Linked DNA regions of Drosophila melanogaster. The protein of the gene in region 2 interacts with the protein of the main gene of each other region in a pairwise test. Each region holds a gene or a part of one and is shown on either strand. Other genes may lie near its edges. The genes, in order: DIP-iota and CG1943.

What was found.
Region 1: the proteins of CG1943 (region 2) and DIP-iota interact in a two-hybrid assay, tested with the Drosophila melanogaster proteins (one large-scale study listed by BioGRID).

What each region holds. Positions count from the first base shown.
Region 1 is NT_033779.5:6,615,245-6,625,003, forward strand, and holds DIP-iota (Dpr-interacting protein iota), read right to left. Parts: upstream 6,457-9,759; 5' UTR 6,267-6,456; coding exon 6,182-6,266; intron 4,203-6,181; exon of another isoform or gene 3,836-4,202; intron 3,175-3,835; coding exon 2,931-3,174; intron 2,872-2,930; coding exon 2,516-2,871; intron 2,463-2,515; coding exon 2,181-2,462; intron 2,121-2,180; coding exon 2,049-2,120; intron 1,988-2,048; coding exon 1,896-1,987; 3' UTR 1,890-1,895; downstream 1-1,889. Other genes in the region: CG11050 (uncharacterized protein), read left to right, coding at 615-908, 970-1,269; CG34345 (uncharacterized protein), read left to right, coding at 7,879-8,099, 8,160-8,314, 8,437-8,587, 8,641-8,837, 8,892-9,412, 9,479-9,523, 9,584-9,749.
Region 2 is NT_033777.3:7,072,992-7,081,224, reverse strand, and holds CG1943 (uncharacterized protein), read right to left. Parts: upstream 6,367-8,233; 5' UTR 6,252-6,366; exon of another isoform or gene 5,738-6,251; intron 4,478-5,737; exon of another isoform or gene 4,336-4,477; 5' UTR 4,307-4,335; coding exon 3,950-4,306; 3' UTR 3,244-3,949; downstream 1-3,243. Other genes in the region: Ref1 (RNA and export factor binding protein 1), read left to right, coding at 1,016-1,261, 1,770-1,971, 2,206-2,403, 2,818-2,972; Ufl1 (UFM1 specific ligase 1), read left to right, coding at 6,900-6,976, 7,043-8,043, 8,100-8,233.

The DNA.
Region 1 (9,759 bases), on a different chromosome or scaffold from region 2:
GCTTAATTCATTACGTGCCTACAAATTGATCAGCTAATCAATAAGCCCGATAAGACACGACCGATGCGATTGCAGCGAAATTGTGGCTTCTTGCAGTTTTATGAAGCAATAATATCATAAGTAAGGCAACTTTTAGCATTAGCAACTACGAAAATGAACGAATGTCAGTGGCAATGGGCCTGCTATGTCTTTTGGACCTTGTTCTCCCAACCACGCGTGTCTATAAATACAACCTTTATTGATCAAATAGCAACAGTCTCAAACCACCCTCGCTGGCAGGCTTGTGTTGAAGGTCTGGGACATGGGGCCACAACCTTGATGTGTGCAACGAGCCCAGCCGGCAACGATGTCACCGAATTCGTGTCGTGTTTTTAATTAATCAAAGTGGCAGGAGGGATATTATGTGAGACTGAGCACAGGAACAAGCAATCTAAGAAACGAGAAATGAAAACAATAGCTTAAATATTAAAGAAACTCTGTTTTTCTTGAATTACACAAGAAGGTATTGAGTAGAAAAAGCATTGCACTTTGTTAGAACGTATCTGGTCTAGTCTAAGAATAGTAACTTTATATTATAAACTCACTAACCCGCTGTGTTTCCATTTCTCTTGCAGCACACAAAACGCACCGGATGGGTGCTGCGTGATGTCAACGACTGCGAATCGATTTCGGGTCACATGTACAGGATGAGCATGCTAACCTTTCTGCTCGACGGCAGTGAGGGACTCAACCAGATACGCTGCATGGAACTGGCGCTGGTACACGATTTGGCAGAGAGTTTGGTGGGTGACATAACGCCATTCTGCGGGATATCCAAAGACGATAAGCGAGCCATGGAGTTCAAGGCGATGGAAGATATCTGCAAGCTGATCGAGCCTCGTGGCAAACGCATTATGGAGCTGTTTGAGGTGCGTTACGAAGCCAAGTTTACTCTTTGTGGGAAGCGTATTTATGTAATTCGAATTGCAGGAATACGAGCATGGACAGACTGCCGAGAGCAAGTTCGTCAAGGATTTGGATCGTCTGGATATGGTTATGCAGGCGTTCGAGTACGAGAAGCGGGACAATTGCCTTCTGAAGCACCAGGAGTTCTTCGACTCAACGGAGGGCAAGTTCAACCATCCGTTTGTTAAGAAGCTGGTCAACGAGATCTACGAGCAGAGGGATGTCCTGGCCAAGGCAAAGGGCGCCACACCACCGCCGGCCATCGAGGTGCCTAGCATGGAGAGATCTTCGAAACTTGCTAACGGGCATGACGGCTCGAGTTGAGCGTTATTCTAGAAACCCGTCTTAGGCTAGCACATGAACACATGAACACATCCTCACATACAAACCAACACGCTCTTAATTTGTAAGCCAATCCAACTAACAAACTGTTAAGCCTACCTCGACACGCTCATAGCTAGATCTAATTCTTAACTCACTAATTTATTGCGAAAGAAACGGAACAGATGCAACCGATGGGAAGTAGCTAAATATTAATGTTTAAATATTAACACACCTGTTGAACACGTCTCCTTAGTTCGATTTCCTCTAAGTTAAGCGTAAAGTTGCGGATCGAATTCTATCGATATATTCAATTGATCTGACTAAGGAATCCAATTGTAAATAACTTAAACGAATTGTAGACTATTTAGAAAAAAATTATTGTAAATGTTGTCCTAAAGCAATTTTATTCAGTCAACCGAACGTAAAAATCAAAACAAAAGATCAGAATCAAAATCAAATTAATTGATTTTTTTTTAATAGTTTGCTCACACGTGCGTTACTTTTACCCTTGAATCGAACAATTGTCACCAAAATTATTATTAATATAACATTGTGAATTAGGCAATATAAAGATGAAGTCACTCATTAGACGTGGCCAAAAGACAAAGCACACATTGTTTGATTGCTCACAAAAGTGACACTTTATTGACGAAACATAGAAACATTATCCAAAGCGGTTGGAAACTGCAGCTCTTATCAGACATATTTGCGATGTATTCTGCAATAAGATTTAGCTAGTTATCTTTATCGCGACTCTATTTATTGTAGAACAAACAAACCTTCGATGACAATGAACTGACTTTCGCGGGAGGAAGTTTGATGCGAGTGCTGTCCATGCTTCTTGGCCTTATCTGGTGGTCAACATTTGTTACATCTAAGGGATTAAGTAACCGAAATATAATCTCACTTACGGTGCACGGTTATAATCCGATCTGTCTGACCCATCGCATTCTTTGCCCTGCATATGTACTCTCCGAAATCTCTTTTCGTTATTGGACGCAGGGTGATCCGCATCACGATCCGGAAGACGTGGTCCACTGAGACCGACTCGTAGGAACCTCCTTGCAGCAATTGCGAATCCCTCAGCCAGAAGTTCACCGATGCCGGCTGCGATTCTGTGATGCACTCCAGCGTCAGCTTCTGGCCCAGGCCCACGTAGATGGTATCGTAGCGTGTCCAGATCGTGGGCGCAACTGAAAGATAACTCAGTATTATATATTGAATCCAACTCTTTGTTCACACATACAATTCACCACCAGCATGACGCGTTTGCTCACTGTGGGTGGCACTCCGTTGGAGGCGATGCAGAGATAGGCGCCCATGTGGGAGCGCTGCACCTGCCACAGGGTGAGATTCTGACCCTCCACGCTGAACACTTCCCGATCGCCGTCGTCTGAAATCAGTATCGGAGTCGCTTCCTCGCGACGCCAGGTGATGGTGGGCATGGGCACTCCCGTTGCACTGCAAGTGAGTGTTACGTTCTGTCCCGTGGAACGAACCACATCCTGACTGGTTTGATAGTCTACAATGTCTGGCGGCACCACCACATCCAGGTAGCCCATTTGGCTCTTCATGGGATCCGTGTTGATTTGGCACATGTACCTACGGTAAACGCTAGTAGAAGAATATGGTCCATCTATCTGATAGATACTTTCACTCACCATCCGCGATCCGATTCCTGAACATCGCGTATTTTTAGCTGCCAGATCCGATGCTCCGTGTGGGAGATGGAGATGCGATGGTTCTTGGTGATGACGTGGTTCTGGATGCTCAGTATCGTCTGCGTGTCCACTCGCAGCCAGGCCACCTTGAAGCTAACCAGGTCGTGGACAACACACGTGAGTAGGGCATCCCGTCCCACGGGAACTGTTGAGTTGTTGATTGGACCGCTGAACTTGGGATCCGCTGCAAAGGAAGATGGTGGCACCAAGCCCAATGGTTTGGCATTTATGGCTTTCATCATTAGGGCGCTAAATGGGGCGACGATATACAACTGCTGGGTGGCTTTTGGGGTGGTTTATGGGGCTTGCAAATGTGAGGCACTGGCATTTGCTGTATTTTAATGGAACTCAGACGCCAAACATTTAATTCAATTAAAAAATAACCTTTTTTTATGTGCAGCTTTTCTAATCCACAATTATCAGGATAATTATTTCATTTCTTATCCTCGCACATTTTTGCGTGTCTCTGCAGAATGTCAACGCAGACTAGGCCAAGTTTGTTGCCAGATGGCCCGCCGAAATGGTCAACGATATTTAAAATTGTTTAACGGCCATAAATTTCTTGAGGTTAACATTAGGCCGAGACAGCGGCAGATAATCCAATAATTAGATAAATTATAGATGTCAGCTACATTCTGGCAAAATAGAGTAGCTTCAACACTAACAAATTGTAAAACTAGCAAAACGAAGCTATTTTTGAATCAGTAAAATATGTTGATTATATTATATATATATAGAAACAATAGTTTTGAACATCATCTTAAACCTATGATTTGGTTATGGATTCTTTTCTGAGCACTTTTACTCAAAAATAGTACCTCATGTATTGTACATACATAATATTGAACAGCGGGATAGTTATGTTTTGATTTTATCGTAAATAATAGCATAAACACGTTGGGTTCACACACTATGAACTCAAACTACTGCTTTCCGGCGTGTTGTTGCTTCGGCCAACTCGAGTCCCATCGCAATAATTTTGAGTCAAGGTGCCCGACCGCAGGACTTCGACAGTTGCCGTCAGCCAATCTAACCACCAGAGTTCCAACCGCAAACCGAACCCACCCACACCATCGCAAACACAACAATGGGCTGGAGGCAGGAGTAATGGAAGAAATCACATCACATGCCTAACAAGTAGCACGACTCTGTGGCCAGGAGACGAGGAATCCAGTTCCAGCTACTGTTCCTGTTCCAGCAAACGCCTAAATTACAATTATGACCAAATAATAACCCGAAAAAATGCAAAAATCTAATAGAGCGCGGTATGTGTGTGTGTGTTGGTTGGGGGGCAGCAGGTGCTGGTACCTGGAAAATTGTAAAAAGCTGTGCTACACCTTTATGTATACCCCCCCCATCCACCACGAATTGATTGCGTTGTGTGGGGGGGGTATCCACCAAACTAGCATCAAATTGGGTAGCCTACGGATGCCATGCCATAGAGCCTATAATTTGCGATTATGTTTGGGTCTGGCCGCAAGTTGGGCGCTTTTTTTTTGGAGTCCGAGTCCGAAGGCTCCGCCTTCAGTTGCTCTGAGTGTGGGGAACGAGGCGCCATTGTTTGACTGCCTTCAGTTGATATGGTTTCTGTTTTTGTTGGTATTGCAATTTGGTTATTGCATGTTTGCATATTGAAACATTCCGAAGAAAGGGACGAGCGAGACTTTTTAAGCCATAAAACACAAACGTACTTTGCACTGGAAATAAAAGTATAATAAGCTAAAGAACTAATATAAAAAAAACAAAAATTTCAATAATATATTTGCATCAACAGATTTTGATTAGATTTTTTATGCATAAAGGAGCAATGAACATAAAACGCTAACAAAACTACAAGGTAAGTAATTATGTATAATATCTTACTTTTGATTTCTACTTTTGAAATTATTCTGAGTGTACTCATACATGTGTGTTCATATAGTTAAACTTTTCTTCTTTTATTTATGTCTGCAAGGTAGCGTAATTTAGCATTTAACTTTTTCGCCACCGCACCGCCTTTGTTGTTGCCACATTTTATAAGGGGAAATTGACTATGAGTTGTTAAATATATTTTCCTGTTTTCTTGCACGACTTGTATCGCTGGAATCGCTTGAATCGCTCGGCCAGGACTTAAGCCGCATTTTCCCCGCGAAGTCGCTGCAAATCCGGCCGTGTCCTTTCCCCACGCCACTTGAACTTGAAACGGAAAGTGAATGTCCTGTCTCCTGTTAGACACTCCAGCTGTCTGCCGGCGAAAGGAATCACAATCACAATCAGCACGCAATGTCTGCCAAAAAGTTAAGTAAAAACTGCGAAATAACCCACTGCAGTGGCAGTTCCACACCCGCAACCGCCAACCGAAAAACGCGGCACTTCAGCGGCAGAAACCGCCGGCCAGGAATAGAAAAAAAAATGAAACGAAAATATCGCAGAGTGCAATAGGAAGTGGGAAAACGTCGCCTTTCCGCGACTGTCTGTCTGCCTGCCCGCTGTGCGGTGGGTGGTGGGTGGTGGGAGTTGGTTGGTTGGCACGGAACATCGTGCGGTGCGGTGCATCATCACTCCTTTGAGCCACTTCTCACTTTCTTATCGCACGCTGCGGCTAGCCTGCCAATATTTATGTTTACTTTGCATCTGGCACATTGATTTAAATGCGAATTTTGTCGAATTTTGATATATTTATCGCATTTGGCTCGCCAAAGTCAAGGAAAATTTGTTTTGTTTTTTTTATTCGGCGCACATTTTCCCCAGCGGAAGTTACCCCTCGTTACTCTTTCGCAGCTCTCCACCGGAAACCCCTCTGCCCGCTCCCTTTCCCTATCACCGCCATCCTGTCTGTCCCGTCTGGGGAATATGTTGGCCACAGTTTATTCACTTATGGACTCGTTGGACTTCCGATTACCAGCTACCTTCCATTTTATACGCTACCACTCCGGCTTTAGATAGTTTGCAGTCAATTAGCTGTACACTTTTGGGTTCATCATTTCGTGTTGGCGGGTTACAAAAGTTCAGCTTGTAAACAGGATACTTTTTAATTGTACAACATTCAAAAAACGTCATATTAATCGAGAAAAACTATCCTTAAAATGTTTAATTTAATATTTAATGGGTTATGCATTTCATTCAAAGTAAATCTTATATTTCTGACTAATTTCATTATTAGCAATCAGATTTATTTATCCTTTAGTTAATCACATCCTCGATCCACTTACAATTGTTTAGCTCCGAAAAGCTGGCCTGGCTGAAACACACGCTCTGCAGGAGCAGCAGCCAAAAGCTGGGCAATCGCCTTCCCATAGCCGAAAACTCAACCGCAATCAAGGTGCGAAACTTTTGAATATTTGCTGATTTCCCACTTTAATTTTTAACTCTGCCACTTTCACTGCCCAAATGGCCGAAGTTCAACTTCCGCCGCAACAGCGCAAATGTATTTTTTCCGCTTCTGCGGATGAAGTTTTTTCCGCCGATTGCCGTGGCCAAACGTCCGCACACCCGTACAACTGGTCGCGAACTGATAATCAAGTGTCAAAACTCATATTCAAAATTCAAATGCGGCACTGGCGTTGCGCATGTGTCCTGCGGCCTTGCGAAGGTAGTGGGTGGTGGTTGGGTGGTTCTAGTGTGTCTAGTGGGTATGGTTGTAGCCCAGTAGTAGTCAAGGTGCCCGGCAGCCGAAAGACGGTGCTGTGCAATAGTAAATGTTTCATTCATAAACCGCCCGACGTAATATTTTCATATGCACGTGACGATATGAAGTATACGACATGTTGCCGGGGGAAAGTGACACATTATTGGTGATTTTTTTGTGGGCGGCGGAGAATAAAGGCCAACTCCAATACCATTCTAATTAACCCCGAAATGCCGCGCATCTTCTGCCCAACTTTCACCCGTATCCCCCATATCCCTCCGGATTCCAGCTGCTGCTCCTCTGCTTTTCTGCGATGCTTGCACTTCCAACTGGCTTGGTTTGCATGTGTGAGCTTCTCGGTAAGTTGGCATTAAGTTCGCACCGCTATTTGCGCACAATTAGCGCTTTTCAATAGCGATAACAATAATCATAATAAGCACGTGGAATTTGCTTGATTGTTGTTTTCCCTAGGGGCACATCTTTTGCTGGCCCATGCAAGTTTCTCTTCGTTTCTTCATTCTGGCCTCTGAGTCAGAGCCTCTGTCTTAATTAAATAATATTTTGCTAAAATTTGAGTGTGTTTTTATGCAATCTTGAAGTCTAAGTGATTGATAAATCCTACCTTTGTTTCATAATTTGATTAGTCAGCAAAATAAACTTACGTTTTAGAGTATCTGAATGGCAATACGTACATTAGATTGCCTTGACTAGTTATGTATATTTTTAAAATAGACTTAAATTCAAGAATTGTTAGTTTAGTGGATTTAACATACTTTTTCATTATTTAAAAATTATTTATTTAAAAAACTGCCGATAATTTCAAATTGTTTCTGCTTGATGTATAATAAAGCCTTTCAAATAAACTTTCCTTACTTTTACTTACACATGAAAAGTATGTGTCTTGGCTAACTGTGTAGAAACTCGAAATCAAATTTCGAAAAAGCAAACAGAAATGGTTTACAACTCCGATGTTACCTAACAATAAAATTATGGCGGTGTATAACTTTGCTAAAAGTTATAGTGTTGTGTAGCGCTGTTAAAAGAAGTAAGCGAATTTACAACTATTTTTTGAAACAAGAATCACTCATGAAATATGTTCTATGAGGCTTGTTAGGGAAATACTAAATTATATTAAGCTAAATATACAAACAGTGTATATGTGTAACTTAAGTGTATCAATCACCGCAGCATTTAAAATAGGCCTGACGAATAAGCGATATAAATCAATTTAAAATGTAGTATCTTCGTTAGGAAATGAAAAAATATAGTTTTCGCAGCAGAATGTTGCTAAGATCATTTCATTATATTCTGCTGAACTGGATTTTATTATTCCTATTCACAGTTTGCAAAGCAAAGAAAGCCGAAAATGATGTAGTACAGGAAGTAATATACTCAAATTCCATTCGAGCCCTGTCTGAACTTCGCGAGATTGAGAATTCCTATATGGAGCATTTAAACAACTATGTTAGCTTTCTGCAACAAAAAATCAAAACTCTCAGAATGTATGATATATATTTTAATTCCTCTCTTAAAACTAGAATTACACTTTAACTTTCACATAGTTTTATTAATTCTTTAACTCCGAATTATTTGGATCACAAGGTGGATCGATATAAATATGTGTCCAATCCCCTAAATTCCTTTGGACTTTTAAGGCGGGCTCATCAAGATTGGCCCAAGTTGATTGCTTACTTAAAGGATCAAGGAAATATAAAAGGTGTGGATTATATACAATGTTTGCACGTTTTCTCAATTTCAAGGGAAGCTAAAAGTACATTTTTGTATTTTATCACTTAAATATGAAACAACAGGCTATTGGTTTATTTAAATATTTTACAGTTGACATCGAGGAAATGAATAAGCTAATCAATCGTACACCCCACGCAAATGATATGGAAGAGGCCCTAATGGGAATGGATAGAATAGAACACTTCTACGACCTGAAGTCATCGGATATGGCCCAGGGTCTTGTGGCAGGTCAACAGCTAAGGTAAGATAACTTAGTTTTAACACTATTAGATAATAATGATAACAATTCTATAGTTCGCGAATGTCAGCTTCCGACTGCTTGGCTTTAGCAGACTATATGTACAAACGATCAGAATTTAGACGTGCGGCTGAATGGTATCGAATAGCTTTAAGTGTCTTCACCAAACCAAAAAATAATATTGCATTTAAGTTCTATGCTCCAAAACGAAAAGAGCTCGAAAAAATGTTTGTCATAAGTCGGCTTCAAGAAGGCAAGTTCAAAGAAGCAATAATATTGGTGTTTATAAATAATTATTTACCATCAGGTTCCGTTGAAAACTTAACTGACTGTCTGAAGGAACTTTCTCAAGACCCGAACAATTCATTGGTGCATCTAAGGCCAAGGAAATCGCCCACTATGATTGAACAGGGCTGCCAGGGAAAGTTTCCACCAGGACCTCAACTAGTGTGTCGCTATAATAGCACCACCACTCCATTTATGCGAATAGCTCCTCTAAAGGAGGAGGAGATCAGCAGAGACCCACTTATCTGGTTATATCACGACGTGATCTATGACAGTGAGATAGCTCAGTTGACGAATGTGACCCGAGAGGAGATGATTCTGGGCACCACCACAAACTATACGACTCCAGATCGGGTGAATCGTCTCTTTCACATTAAAGTCACCGACGACGATGGCGGAAAGTTGGACAAAACGTTGGTAAATCGTATGGCAGACATATCTGGCCTGGATGTGGGCAATACCACCACACTGGCCAGAATCAATTATGGACTTGGTGGTTATTTCCAAGAACACAGTGATTACATGGACATTAAGCTTTATCCGGCAAGTAACCTGATTCATTTAAGTGTATATTATTCATTATATCGCTAGATCATACACAACTATTAGGAACTGACTGAGGAAGGTGATCGATTAATGACATTCTTGTTCTACGTAAGTTCAAAACCAACACTCTATAGAAAATGTACTATTTAACCAATTTAACACTTCCAGATGACCGATGTTCCAGTGGGTGGCACCACAATCTTTCCCGGCGCCCAACTTGCTATTCAGCCAAAGAAGGGATCCGCCCTCTTTTGGTACAACCTCCACAATAATGGTGACCCAAATCTGCTGACCAGGCACGCCGTTTGTCCCACAATTGTAGGCAGCCGATGGGGTTGGTAATA
Region 2 (8,233 bases):
AAAGCAAAGCGCCAGCAACTAAATCTAAAAAGTTTGAAGATGACCTGGTTGCTGGTTGCCGAAAATCTGCAACCACTCTGGAAAATAAAGTCCGTTTATACAAAGCCATACTAAACTTATACCAGCAATTCAAATATTTAGATTCTACAACGCTACCAATCAAAAATATTAAGACAAATTGTTGATGCTCAATTTTTATTTCAAATGCAAGTATCCATAAAGACTTAGGAATCCCTTATGTTAAAGAAGAAATAGCAAAACATATTAAAAAATATATAGACAGACTAAGAACACATGAAAATAACTTAGCCTTAAGTTTGGTAAAACGTAATAACAACGTCAGAAGACTTAAAAGATTTTACGTGCTAGACCTCCCTGACAGGTTTTAAGTATTAAAACATGTTATGCCTAGAGTATGTAGTAGGGATTAATGGATAACTACTGCCTCTGTTAATATAAGATTAATTATAAAATGTACTTATTGTCATACTTTTTTAAGACAGATTGTAAATAAAAAGAGAGAAAAAAAAAACTTAGATGGGAGGTAATCATTCCAAATAATTTTCCAAGATCATAGTCATTTTAATCACAACATTTAATCACAACATTATTATAATCACATATTTATTATGGTTCTAAACATTTTCAAAAGTGGATATTTCCCATATTATTAGGATATTTCGTGAATATGAATTATAATAATTTTTAATGTTATGTTATATTTTATGTTTATATAATTTCCGTATTTACCCTATTTCGCCGTTTCATTTTCGTTGACAACTCGTTGTCGTCGTTATCTTGACGCACACCGTTATTCAACACTTTTTTCCTCTGAACCAATATGGCGATTGTGTAGATCTGTGTGCGTCGTTTTTGCAAAGTTTTGTGAAATTCCACGCGCTCCTCCTTAAAAAAAAAACGCTTTAAACACATTCTTCAGTAGCAAGCAGAGACCCAATCTTTCCCTTGACTTTAAACGATCTCCAAGTAGTCAATACAGCACGCAATAAGCAAGATGGTGGACAAAATTGAAATGAGCCTCGACGACATCATTAAGTCCACACGCTCGCAAAAAAAGCCGCAAGCCGCCCGCGGCGGACCAGGTGGCGCCCGAAAAACGGGCGGACAGCAGCGTTTTGCTGGTGGAGCCCGCCGCGGCGGAGCCAATGCCGGCGGCTCGCCCAGGAAGCCAGGAAGCGTGCTCAAGGGCCCGCGAGGAGGAGTGGCCGCCGGAGCCGTTCAGAAGGCCAAGTTCCCACGGGTAATTCATTGCGTTTCAATGGCCAAACGGAGCAGCCGGAGCAGACCATCCCCGTGCTCAGTTCACCAGGACAGAGCACTACCAAAGCAAGTGTCTTGCGGCCCATGATCCGCACAACAGTGCTTGGAAGCGAAAAACAGACTCAGAATCTAAACCAAAATCAAAATGGCCACCATGCGCCTTCCAACGGACGGAACAACTCTTCGAGCCCGAGCAGAGCCTCAAGTTCAAGTTCCTTTAACCCCGTTTTTACAGAATACCAAACAGACGACACCTGTGTCTTAACTTATTTTTCCTCACGTCTCACGCCTCACGTTTTCCACGTGAACCATACCCAGTTAACAAGCATTTCTAGTGTCTCCGCTCAATATGGCTGTCCTCTCTTGTGGCTAGGATACGATGCAACTGCTACTGCAACGGCTACTCCCGCCACATACATATAGTTGATACGCGCAGCGTTCGAAGACATACCCATCTACCTTCTACCTAATACTACCCCCACCTCTAGGGCGATGTGAACAGCGCTTGGAAGCACGATATGTACGACGGACCGAAGAGGGGTGCCGTCGGTGGAGGATCTGGACCCACCCGCCTCATCGTCGGTAACCTGGACTACGGCGTATCCAACACGGACATCAAGGAGCTCTTCAACGACTTTGGTCCGATAAAGAAGGCGGCAGTGCACTACGATCGCTCCGGTCGCTCGTTGGGTAAGTGCTAGTACTACTCCAGCTACCTGTCGTTAGGTGAAACATTTCGGTACATGCTGTTCATAAAATGGCGGCAGAATGGTTCAGTAACAGACATTCCAAGTAATATAAATCGGCTTGAATTGATAACAGATCAGATCATCCGATGAAGCTGCGGTTTTTATTTAGTATTTTGATTTATGCCGAAATTTAAAGCTATTGCCATGTATTTGATTTATTCACTTTTCTTTGCAGGCACCGCTGACGTGATTTTCGAACGTCGCGCCGACGCCTTGAAGGCCATTAAACAGTACCATGGCGTACCTTTGGACGGACGCCCTATGACCATTCAGCTGGCCGTCTCAGACGTGGCCGTGTTGACCCGTCCCGTAGCCGCCACCGATGTCAAGCGTCGCGTGGGTGGTACTGCACCAACTTCATTCAAGCGTGGTGGTGCGTATCCAAAATGCTACAGCAGGGACCGTGAATGATGCCCATTTTCGTTTATTTTTACCACAAACATCGTTCATTTAAAACTATTTCAGATCAATTTTGGATCTATCCCCATTCCCACAAAGATTTTTAAATGCCTATTTATTTCGATTACCTAGTATGTCTTAGGTTTCAAATTTTGTTACTTGACTTTTTATACGAAATACTTTCCTTTCTTTGTTATGTTTTCTTGTCAACAGCTTTTGTAATTATTCAAACTTTTGTTTCGATTTAATACGATGTTTGTTGGGTAAACTACGTTACTAGGTCAGTTCCACATATGAAAGCTTACCTTTCTATAATGACCATGATACGGTCCCATGACGATCCATCCTTGCTCCAATGCTTACACTATCATTCCGAACTGTTTTTTAGGTGGCCAAGCTGGTGGCACGGCGCGTCGCGGCTTCAAACGTCCGGTCGGTGGCAAGCCGGCGGCAGGCGGCCAGCGACGGGAGCGCAAGGCCCCGCCCACTGCTGAGGAGCTGGACGCCGAACTGGACTCATACATCAACGACATGAAGATCTAAATAGTGAATAGTCTGAATTAGTCTAACAAGAATAGAAGAGCAGCCCAATCTATAGTTTTAAGCCTACCATATGGACACCCCCCGCATGGTACATAAATGCAAACGCATCGACAACGCCGCGCCCAGGAGCAGATCTTTGAAAGCATCGGACATCAAATCAATCAACCACTTGCGCATTTATCCATTAATTGTTAGTTTTGCCAATGCGGCGGATGTTAAGATAACTGAAATACATTTGATGCTGTATTTATTGTATTTAGAAATGCGCTTTATCAAGTTCGACGATAAATTGATGGACCTTGTCAAATTAAACTGAATTGTAATAAATACTAGAATTAATTTCGTGACCAAATCGAATTGTATTTACTGACTCAATAGGCTAGGAGTATTGTTTAATTACTAGGCGGCGGCGGACTCCGAAGAATCTCCATCAACTTGCAAAAATAAAAGAGCCATCACTTACAATTAAATGTTTTATTTGGAGTAATACATCGATGGTTATATTGGTATTCGTTTGGACGAATTTTACAGACTATAAGAAGATTCGATTGGACACTTTAAGTACAAATGCTAAATTAGGCTTAGTAGGTGGTAGATTTTAGCAAAGTCAATCCATATCATCCGTATTTGTGGGGCGGAATCACGAGTTACTTAATTTCAACAATTTCGTTAGACATTTTAAACCTGTTACTTAGACAATAGAACAAATGTGGGACATGAAAATGAAAGGGCGAAAGGAAGAACGACTTGGAGTGCTGCTTGGCAAAATATAATCAGTTTCCCTTCTTCTTCGGCTGATCAGCAGGTTAATATAGGTAATGCGCCTCTAAATATAGGTGTATACGTATGTTATAAGCGAGTTATGTATATTTATAGTTTTATGATTCTTATGTCGGTCTGAGGATGTGATGGTGAGTCATTAAATGCTTGGCAGCTGCTTCTGCTCCCGGGCACACTTCCTTCCCTCCTTCCTCCCTCTACCAGAATCCGCCCGACGAGAATCCGCCGGGTGGAACTCGGCCGCGTGCCTCTCCATTTGTGGCCGCTGGTTTGTTCGCCGGCTCCTTGGGCTGGCTGGGTGGGGCGGACTTGGCCTCCTCCTTCTGGATGGAGACCTCTTCGCGAATTTTCTCCACCACCTTGTTGGGATCCGTGGAGCCCATGCAGGCATTGAGGTTTGAGGAGTTCTGTTGGTTGTACTTGGCACGCGGGGCGGGAACGGCCACGTCGGGCTCCGAGAAGATATTGGTGTGTCCGCCGCCTGGGGGCTTCAGCACTCGGCTGGAGGGACGGGCACTGGTGGTCAGGCCGATTTTCAGCTCGGTGGATGTCATTTTGTCGCTGCTGGTTGTGGTTTCAGTGACTGCAATGCATAACAATGAAAAGTGAATCAGATGCGGTCGGAAATACGAGTACCCTAGACTACAAATTCAGTCACGCCACTTGCGGATGTGACGCCCGGCACAATGACGCCCGTCATCCGACATCACCCCACCACTGGCAAATCTTGGCGAAGTGGAGTGAAAACGAGAGACCCATTTGTTCTGCCCTTCTGCCACCTTATCGACGGTTTCTCTACACACATATGTATGTATGTATGTATATAGAAACTCATCTATTTTTCTTGCTGCGCTGCCCTCAACTTTTTAACTTTGCCGTTAACTGTAATTGCGCGTTTTGTGGCTGTCGCACTTTCGTTGTTGTTTTTGCCATTGTTCATTTCTCCGTTTTTGTGTTAGGCGTTCGCACAGTGGGCTCAAAAAGTGCGTTTGGGCATTGACCATTGACTACAGTTCAAACAATAAAGTCCTTTGGTGATATAAAGTGCCAATAGTCAGAGTGGTCAATTAAGAAACTAATTAAGTTAATAGAAAGTGGGTTATATGTATATATGAAAATAATATGCTTTACATATCATCTATAAAACACACTTCCTCGCATCCAAGATGCAAATGACAAATATTAGTTTCGTAATGATTTTTTGCCTCGCTTATGGCGGAAAAGAGGTCGCCTCCCAGGCGATGACATCTGAGGCAAGTGCGGTGAAGAAGCATTTGTAATGATGCGTCATCCGCTGGGGGAGGCACATTCCGCCCAACTCCCGCCTGGGGTGTATCCCATTTGGGGTGGCTGTTGGCGACAACAACAAACACAGGCCACACACACTGGCAATTTTGTTGGGGTACGGGAAAACAAAGCAATGTGAATGACCGCACCGAGTCAAAGATCTCTAGATTAGAAGGCTCACAAGCGATTTCGATTCCCACAGTTGAACGCTTTCCACCTGGGCAAAAAACACTACCAACGTACTGCACAGAACAAAATACGGTCGCATCTAAATTTATTATGATGAATCGAATGGATATCTAAAATTTTATTTACATAACTAAAACAACACCAAAGAGAGAGAGATAGATATAAGGCGTAACAATGAAAACAAATTAGCTGGCAAAAAATGACATCGTACAAGCATTTTCTCTCAGTGCAGAAAGGCAATAACAGAGACTGATTGCCGTGTTCCCTTTCCACTGTACTTGTTGTTTTTGCTTCCCTAGGGCGATTGCCGGCTCTCACACACACACATCTGCATGCATACGAGAATCACATTAACTGTGCTTTCTACTTGTATTGGTGCTGAAATTATGAGTAATGAGCAATCTGGTTAAAACTCGAAATTTCGGCCTGCTGCCATCGCCGCGACTTGTTGACCAAGTGAATGTTTATGGCCAAAACACATTAGACAAATCCAGTTTCGGCAGACCTACTTAAAACGTATCATCGATTAGACTAAAAACGGCGATGCACACGGAAACTGGCCGACCAGAAAGCGAAGTAAACAACAGCCACTTCAAGAGCAGGCTACTGAGATTCGGTTCAAACTGCTTTCGGTTAGTTTTTCGTACCTAGGTGCATGCAATAATCGCCTGACTAAAGCGAAGCACTCAGAACCCGAACAATATGGCCGCCCAAAAGGAGCGGCAGCCGGAGATTGCCCCGTCGTGGGCCATAGCCCAAAAGACCGAGCCACAAACCGGGAATCTTCCACTTCCACAGAGGATGTGTTATTTATAATGCATATGGCAGCTGTGCTAAATAAAATTCAAAAGCAGCTGCACTCACACAAACGCACGCACACACAGACAGCGCTTGCGCTCGGTGTACGAAATTCCATGACACAAGTGAAAAGTGTTGGTCTGCGAAAATATTGATTTATCTCGCAAACCCGCTGTCAACCAACTATCTGTGGGCCCAGCATGTCGACACCCAAGTCACGCTTACCTTGGAAGGACTCCGGAATACGGCTCTACTCGAAGAAGTCTGGCTTTAACTTTGCGAATAAGAGATGCGGAAACGACGCGCACTTGCCAACGAACGTTGATTTCAAATATGGTGTAAAGTGACCGGAGCAGAGTATTGGAATTAACCGAAAATCTGTCTTCTGTTCGTAGGGGAAGCTTTTCTAGTCTGGTCCCATTTGATATAACAGCAGTGTATCCTGGCACTGTTAAGTGTCGAGATTGCTCAACACGCCATCTATGAAAGAGAATTGCAACTTTTGAAAAAAAGTACTTCATTACTGTTTAATAACTAAATCTAAATCATAGACGTTCATTACTATATCATCTCGGTTGTTGATCAGTACAAGATTATTTATGCTGAATTATGCTTTGACTTCTAGTTTTTATATTTTTATTTAAACGCCCTGTAGCTGAGTAACGGGTATGTTGTAATCGATATTTTTCTTGAATATCAGATTCAAGACATTAGCCTCGTGTTCAACCAGTGCATTGACTGAAACCAGTGAAACCACCTTGTGAGCAGTAAGGTCACACTTGAGTTTTGTTGACGTTTCATTTTAGGTTTTTTCAGATTGCATCTAAGCAGTCTAATATCTTTATCTTTACTATCGCAGCGAATCATAACAAGATGGGTAGTGACTGGGACGAGATCAAGCGCTTGGCCGCCGACTTTCAGAAGGCGCAGCTCACGTCTACGCTGCAGAAGTAAGGCGAAGCTCTCCTATTTTACTGCTTTACGTTTTCACATTTGTTACATTACCAATTTCGTAGGCTCTCGGAGCGAAACTGCGTGGAGATCGTCACGCTGCTGCTGGAGAAGCAGATGCTGGAGGTGGTGTTCACCAACGATGGCAAGGAGTACATCACGCCGGATCATCTGGAGCGCGAGATCCAGGACGAGTTGTACGTGAACGGAGGTCGTGCCAACTTGGTGGAGGTCAGCAAAACCCTAAATGTGGATTTATCACGAATCGAGCTGCTTGCCGAACGAATATCTGCGGAGAATCAAAGCGTACACCTGGTACTGGGACAGCTAATCGACGAGGACTACATCAGTCATATTGCGCAGGAGATCAACGAGAAGCTGGTTCAGCGAGGAGAGGTTTCCATTTCGGAATTGGCTTCCCAGTTCGATCTGCCGTCGGACTTCCTGCAACACGACGTGGTCGAAAAGCATCTAGGTAAGATTATTAAGGGTCGCCAGGATGCCTCAAATCCGCGGGTGTTCTTCACTCAGGCCTACATCCAACGTTGCAAAGCGAAGATTCGGGGAGCCCTGGCCGCCATTACCAGGCCCATAAATGTGGCTGTGATTCTTCAGAAGATCGGTGTGCAGGAGAAGATCTTCTACTCGTTGCTGGACGAAATCGCGCCAGCTGGCCAGGTTACCTCCAAGCAGGCCAACTCCCAATACGTGCCGCACATCTATGCCAAGACGCAGGCTGACTGGGTGAACTCGTTCTACAAGCAGAACAGCTTCCTTGAGTATGATGCCATTCAAAAGCTGGGAATTTCGGATGCCAAGTCCTACATTCGCAAGCAGTTCCCCAACGAAGAGTTTCTCTACCTCAAGCGTGTGGCCCTTGGCGCTCGACTGGTGGAGCTCACGGTGGTCACGGCGCTAAATGAGTGCAGTGCCACCAAGCAGTACCTGGATCTGACCACCATACTTCCATCGAATCTGTCCGAGGAGGATATCGAGGAGGTTTTCAGCACCATCATGGCCCAAAAGCATAGCAATCCCAGCAACTTTGTTTATCTTGATGGCATTGGTACGTACTTGAGTTACTCTTTTTTAATTTCATTACAACGAATATGTTACTTTTAGTATTTTCGCAACCATACCTCGCGCAATTGGTTCAGCCGTGTCAAGCGTTGGCAGAGTCTCAGGCCAAGGCGGCCATCGATGGCGGCGTATACCAGCAGTACATTGTGGAGAAGACGCTAGCGCAAAAGGGAAAC